Linked DNA regions of Macaca mulatta. The protein of the gene in region 1 purifies or fractionates together with the protein of each later gene. This does not show direct contact. Links are inferred from orthologs where the notes say so. Each region holds a gene or a part of one and is shown in the gene's direction. Other genes may lie near its edges.

Region 1 (3,748 bases):
TCATTGCTTAAGCTCTGCCAAGATTATCTAAGTGTTTGGTGATTGCTATGTGCTTTAAGAAAGGCGGCCAAGGGGCCGGGTGCTGTGGCTCATGCCTGTAATTCCAGCACTTTGGGAGGCTGAAGCGGGCAGACCACGAGGTCAAAAGATCGAGACCATCCTGGCCAACATGGTGAATCTACATGGTCTCTACTAAAGATACAAAAATTACCTGGGCGTGGTGGCGCTGCGCCTGTAATCTCAGCTACTTGGGAGGCTGAGGCAGGAGAATCGCTTAAACCCGGGAGGTGAAGGTGGAGATGGAGGTTGCAGTGAGCTGAGATCGCGCCACCGCACTCCAGCCTGGCGACAGAGTGAGGCGCCGTCTCAAAAAGAAAAAAAAAAAAAAAGACAAAAATGAAAGGCAGTCAGGGTTATGCAGAGAGCCCTCATCTAGTTGGCAGGAGCTGCGGACCCTGCTCCAGTTGAAAGACATTGTCAATACTTAATTACTTTGGGAGAGTCATTTCCTCTCGCTGGGCCTCAGTTTTCTGACCACAAGTGCCTTTTGAGTCCTAATAGTAATAAAAGATCAATAGGTGAGTGACTGGAGTGAGAGTGCTGTTGACCACTGACTCATGGGAGTAAGTTATTTGCTTCAAACTAAGTCTGCAAATTACTGTTTGCCTTGAGATTCCTCATGTAGGATTTTTCTGAAGCAAGGCAGCACTCAGTTATCTGAGTTTCAACTCAAGGTCAAATCCCAGTTTTGGGGTCACTATTCCAGAAAAGCAAACACGAGGTTAGGAAATTTGAGGATGCCTAAGGGGCTGTATTCATTCCCATCTCCCGCGTAAATTAACGGACTAGGGCCGGCTTTGGCCCTCAACAAAGATGGCACCCGCCCTCGCCTCGTCTTAAGTGCCCTCACAAAAAATGACAGCCGGCCTTTTTTTCTCTTAGTTTTGCTGGCAAAAACACGGACGCTGTGCCCTTAGTTAAGATGGCACCTACCCCCGCTTCCCTGCCCGTCCTCTGGCGCCAGCCGGTCGGCTTCACTGCGTGCGCCTCGGTGACCCCGCCTCGTTTCCGTAGGAAGAAGCGCCGGGAAAGATGGCGGCGTCTGTGGTTTGAATTCCAGCGGCGCCGCCAGAGTCTGAACAAGCGCTGGGGTGGAGGGGGCGGGGACCCTGGGAGCTCGGCGGGTCGCTACCGCGGGGGGTACTAGTGGCGCCGCCGCCACTGACACCAACACCGCCACCACCTCTGTATCCATGATGGACTCGGTGTTGGAAGAGGACGTCACCCTCCTTGGGACGCTCAGCGGCTGCAGGTGCGGCCGGGGCATTGGTGGTCTTGGTAACCGGGCCGGGGTTCCAGCTGATGGGGTTTCACTCTAACGCGGCCTTGAGGTTTGCTTTTGAGGGTGTCTGGCCAGGGGCAAGTGTGTGGGGTGGGCTCCTTCGGAGAGGGTCTCTGGGGGGCCCACCAGCTGACACTTTGGGGGGCTGGGAGCCACGATCTGCACCACAGTTGCCTGTAGCATTGCACCACGTACTTTGTAGAGGGCTTGAAGAACAAGTAAGCGATTTTGTGAAAGAGTAGGACCAGGGTGGGGCCACTTGGAGTATCCCGTTAGTGGGGATTGGTGCGGAACAGGGACCTTGAGGGCACCTGATGGTTCACTCTGGTTTGAGGGTTTGTTTTCATTATGGAGAGTGTAGCCGATATGCCCAGACTTTGCTTTTTGGGTCAGATAGTGGCCACCCAGGAGGCAATGGAGTGCAATGGTTAAGAGCCGTGGCTGGAGTTGGACAAAACTGGATTCAAATCCAGCCCTGTAAACTGACTAGCTGTGTGACCTTGGTAAAGTGATTTCACTGGCTTTCCCATCTGTAAAATGGGCTAGTAATATCTACCCAATAGAGTTGGGGTGAGGATTAAAAGAGGTGATGCCTGTCGAGCCATTAGCTTGGCACCTGTAGTGCCTGCCACATAATCAGTACTTAAAAAATGATCTTGTGTTGCCATTAGTGTTATTATTACTACTGTCATCAAAGGTGATATGAATCAGGGAATAATGGCCAAGAGTGGCCTCCCATGGACCTGCCCCAAGAGACTGGGAGTCCCCATTGCTGGTTGAGCTGGAGTCTGGTAGGAAGGCCTAATAGAGCACTACACTGCTTCAGGGCTGGCCCCTGTGGTTGTCCTGGACTCCTGGTTGGAGAGTGAGTAGAAGAAGGAAGAGGAGAGCCCTGACTGAGAACCTGCACTGTTTATCCAGCTCTACTAGGGACAAGCTGCTGCTTTTAGTCAACAGATCCTAATTGAAAGGGTAACCATGGTATTTATTGTGCTAACTGGGACACTTAAGAGTGAAAAGGGCCAGGCGCGGTGGCTCACCCCTGTAATCCCAGTCCTTGGGGAGGCTGAGGTGGGCCTATTTCTTGAGCTCAGGAGTGTGAGATCAGCCTGGGAAACATGGTGAAATCCTATCTCTACAAAAAATACAAAAATTAGCCAGGCGTGGTGGCATGCACTTGTAGTCTCAGCCGCTCGGGAGGCTGAGGCAGGAGGATTGCTTGAGCCCGGAAGGTTGATGCTGCAGTGAGCTGTGTTCATGCCACTGCACTGTAGCCTGGGTGACAAAGTGAGGCTTTGTCTTAAAAAAAAAAAAAAGTGAAAATAATTAATATTTATGCCCGGGCAGCAGACATACATAGGGCCTATCTTGGGTAAACTTGGACAAATGGTTTTTCTGTTTATTGAGAACCTTCATGTATCAGGCACAGATTAAGATGCTTTGCAGTTCCTGTCTAATTGGGTCCTGTGATATTTCATCATGCCCTTTTCTGTCTGTTTTACTTCCACTGCCCCAATATATTTGGAGTATGGCTTCTCTCCTGTATTGTCCTTTGCACCTCTAATAGTTTTTTATACTACAGTTTGAAAACTATTATTTATTTATTTATTTATTTGAGTCTTGCTCTATCACCAGGCTGGAGTGCAGTGGCGCGATCTCGACTCACTGCAACCTCTGCCTCCCGGGTTCAAGCAATTCTCTTGCCTCAGCCTCCCCTATAGCTGGGATTACAGGAGTGCACCACCATGCCTGGCTAATTTTTGTATGTTTAGTAGAGACGGGGTTTCACCATGTTGGCCAGGACGGTCTCCATCTCCTTATCTCGTGATCTGCCCACCTTGGCCTCCCAAAGTGCTGAGATTATAGGTGTGAGCCACCATGCCCAGCCTGAGAACTATTTTTAAAATATAAATCTGCTCTTCACAGTCTGCTGCTTTATACTTTTAATGCTGCTTATTGCTGTTACCGTAACTTCCATTATTATTCTCTCAGATAGCCATTCTCATTTCAGTGCTTGTTGGCCAAACACTTGGGTTTTGGGGTCCCAGGCCCAGCTGGGTTTCAATCCCAGTTCTGCTACTTAACAACCCCTTGATTTGGGGCAAGTCACTCATCCTCCGTGAGCCTCAGTGTTTATCATCTGTAAAAGGGGTTGGTGTAAAGCCTAGGGTTGGCATAAGGATTAAAATGAATCTTAAAAAGTTTAGTTCAGTGTCTGACCTGGAGTAACTACTCAACAGAACAGCAAACATTCTCCTTTCCCTCATCTCCCTCCTTTGCAGGACCTAGATACTGCATACATTCCATCTTAACCATTTTAAAGCATGGTTCAATTGTATTAAATCTATTTGTGTTATTGCTGAACTGTCACCACTATCTATCTTTGTAACTCTCCATCTTGCAAAT
Region 2 (3,421 bases), on another chromosome or scaffold:
TGTATTGTTTAGGGTGTAGGGGCAAGAAAAGAAGTGTATGTGTTTGGTGCAGACACATCTTTTTTTCTGAATATTTTTCACCCACAGTTGGTTGAATCCATGGATGCGGATCCCACAGCTGTCGAGAGCTGACTGTGTTTGTAGTTATCGGTGGCTGGCATTTCTAGGACCAGAGAATATGAGTGTTTAAGGCTTAAAGCTTTGAATTTGGGGTGATTTTACAAATAATTAGTTTTCTGTTTCTACTAAAATGTACCTTTTTTGCAGTCATACTTCAGCAAGTGGCATGTCGTAATTACTCCATGTTAATTCTTTGACTGATCACAGCACGGCGTAACCTAGGCCCTGCTGAGGGGGTGCTGAAGATGAGGAGGGCCCAGTCGTGGTGTGGTCAGCCTGGCCTCCCTGCACACGGCATTCTCCCTAACCTGCCCCTGGCTGCCTCTCTAAGATATTCTTGTTGACGAGCAGCTCTGTAGACAGTGTGGGCTGTGCTTCCTTACAGAAGTCGGAAAGGGCTGCTTGGAAGCCAGACGAAACGGCTCCACAGAGTTCCCTGAGGCGCCCAGACCCTGGCCGGCTTCCACCGGCTGCCAGCGAGGAAGCACACCCCAGCAACGTCAAGGTAGGAACAGTGCCACGAGTATAGAACTTTGGTGCTTTTTAAAGTCCTGGGTTTGTAAATTGCAGGCAAAGTATTTTGGGGACCACAAGGTTCTCGTCTGCCGGGTGTAGCAATCACATCACTAAAGGAAAGGAAGTTCACAGAATAAACTTCAGCTTGAATTTTGGTTTAGTTGTGCACACGTACTGAGTTTCTATGCTTGTTAAGTGTGGAACGTGGAAGGCTTTGACCAAGTCAGCAAATGGCAGCCTCTGCAGCCTGAGGGAGGCCTGGCCCAGGGACTTGCCGGGATTTGGCCCAAGCTCTGCTGCAGTCTCCTGGTGGCACACAGGCCCCACCCTGTGACGTCCATCCCATGCCCAATTTGGACCTTACCTAAGAGGTTAAATTCAAGAAGCCTTCATAGGGGCCCATTTGATGATGCTGTGGAGAGAAGCTTGTGGTTCTAGATCTTGTCTGACAAACACAAATTGGTCTTTGAGCAGAACAGCAACGTTGTTTCTGGCCACAGATACTGTTGCAAGGCCGATGGCCTCTGTGATGATTTGCTGAGAAAAAACAATCTGGCTCTTTGGAGAGAGCTATGGTGTAAATGTGCTTTGTCAGCAAGACAGGCGTCTTTCCTATGGTAAAATCTGTTTTTTTTCTTTTAGATGGAAAAATTGTACCTGCATTATTTGAGAGCAGAGAGCTTTAGAAAAGCTCTGATTTATCAAAAGAAGTATCTTTTGCTGTTGATTGGTGGATTCCAGGATTCTGAACAAGAAACACTCTCCATGATTGCCCATTTGGGGGTATTTCCTTCCAAAGCGGAGCGGAAAACCACATCTCGCCCTTTCACACGGTTCCGCACGGCCGTCAGGGTGGTTGTTGCCGTATTGAGGTAAATGCCGTGACATCCAATCAGCACGTCCGCGTCTGTCCCCGTGAATGGGCAGCACGCTGCATGGTTTTTTGGTGATTTTATTCCTTGAAACTCTATAATATGTTCTCTTTTTAAAGATGAATGGCATTTGAGGCCTTAGAGAAAATACAGATGATGAACTTGTCTTCAAGAAGTCATGTGTATGAAGCTGTCACCTTCTGAAACTAAAGATTTAAGGGCACCTTTGTATTACAGAGGAACATCTTGACTTTTAATGGGTTTCGTGCCACAGTTTTTTCCATTTCATAGTTTTAGAATGTGCTGAATTTCGAAAACTGCTTTTCCGCCTAAACGCTGTGTGGCTGTGCCTGCTCCCTGACGCCACAGTGTTCCCTGAGGCCACACACAGGCCTGTCTGGAGGAGCAGATGCAGCAGAGAGTAGCTAGGAGTCCTGTTCCTTTCAGAGACCAGGCGCCAAGAAGTTCCGTCATTGCAGCTGCGGGCTGGGCTGAAGTGGGGTGCAGGCGAGGCCTCCTGGGGTGCTGTGCTCTCAGCTTCTCTGGTCCTGGGGCACTTTTGTCTCCTCGGCTCTGAGCTCCCCTGACCGTAGGCCTTCACTGTCCATCCTTTCATCCACCCATCTGTCCATCCTGTGTTCGTGGGGAGAACACCCTGCCTGAGGAAGCATTTTAGGCACTAGATGGGGGAGGTAAGCGGACCCAAGTCCTACCTCCAGGGTCTTCCTGTCGAGGAGGGATCATTTGAAGGCAGCAGTGTCCCAGACAGGAGCAGTTTCTGTGTACCTGTGAGAGCACTGCCTAGGGTAGCTGCCACCAAGGGGCCTTCACGGGTCTCATGGAGGAATCGGCAGTGTCTGCTGTGCCTCAAAGGAGGGAAGCCGCAGGCATGATGCTTGTCCCGAAGGCCATCCTAGCAGGACGTCTGGGGCCGTGCACCCTGACCTGCATGCCCTCGTCACCTGCACCCTGCGTGCTTACCATCTGACGGACTCCTGCGAGGGCTGGGGTGTCCGTGTGCTGAGCCTGTCCGCTGGCATCTGTGACAGGATGAAGACGCGAAGGTCCTGCACACCAGGCCGGAGCAGCGTGTGTTTCCTAGTCACTGGTGTGGCTGCTGACTTTGAACTGGAGTCGTCCTGAGCTGGGCCACGGCGGGTGTCTGGGGAGCCGGATGGTCCATGGTGGGGCTGCAGTGAGGCTTCGTCAGGTGGTCGGGCGTGGGAAGGTCTCTGCCGCCAGCAGCCCTGCAAGCACTTTGGATGTGTGCACCCGGCGTGCAGGGCCCAAGTCCACAGACTGGCCAGCCTTAACGTCAAGGCCCCATTCTGCTTGTTTGATCACAGTGGGGTTTTCATTGCTCTTTCCCTTCCTGTTTTGCCATACTTTTAAGTGTGTCTTGTCTCCTTTTTTTGTAGATTACGTTTTTTGGTTAAGAAATGGCAAGAAGTAGATCGGAAAGGAGCTCTGGCACAAGGCAAAGTCCCTCGCCCAGGTGGGACTCCCGCTGCCGTTGGCCGCTGGACTCACAAACTTTTCTTCCTACTGTTTGTAGCTTTTTCATTCACCTTTGGGTCATTTTTCAGTGTTGATGGGGATGTAATAAAGCACAGTAAGAAAATCCGTGAATTCCGTCAGGGCAGTCGTTCAGAGGGAGGGTGCGCCCAGCACAGGGAGGTCAGAGCTCACGTTAGCTATGAGCACAGTTCACAGGGGCATATGGTGATGGGAAATGCTGAGATGCTCAATATATTGATTCTTTAATAGTGTTTAGCAAAATGGTCTTTTTTATTCCCCAAATCAACTGAAACTCACTTCACGTCTCTTTCCTTGTAGAGCATCATGCTTATTTCTGGCTCACTCCCATCTTTGTCTCAGGAGTTCTCTGCCGTGCCATTGCCCCCATAGCAGAG

Evidence for each region.
Region 2: the proteins of CDK5RAP2 (region 1) and PCNT purify together in Homo sapiens (co-immunoprecipitation; 4 studies listed by BioGRID and IntAct, with this or other methods). This does not show direct contact. The link is inferred for Macaca mulatta from reciprocal best matches to the Homo sapiens genes CDK5RAP2 and PCNT.

Annotation. Positions count from the first base shown.
Region 1 is NC_133420.1:37,623,221-37,626,968, forward strand, and holds the start of CDK5RAP2 (CDK5 regulatory subunit-associated protein 2), read left to right. Parts: upstream 1-1,064; 5' UTR 1,065-1,253; coding exon 1,254-1,312; intron 1,313-3,748. UniProt on the Homo sapiens protein: Potential regulator of CDK5 activity via its interaction with CDK5R1. Negative regulator of centriole disengagement (licensing) which maintains centriole engagement and cohesion. Involved in regulation of mitotic spindle orientation.
Region 2 is NC_133408.1:1,140,386-1,143,806, reverse strand, and holds part of PCNT (pericentrin), read left to right. Parts: intron 1-505; coding exon 506-625; intron 626-1,278; coding exon 1,279-1,508; intron 1,509-2,926; coding exon 2,927-3,003; intron 3,004-3,421. UniProt on the Homo sapiens protein: Integral component of the filamentous matrix of the centrosome involved in the initial establishment of organized microtubule arrays in both mitosis and meiosis. Plays a role, together with DISC1, in the microtubule network formation.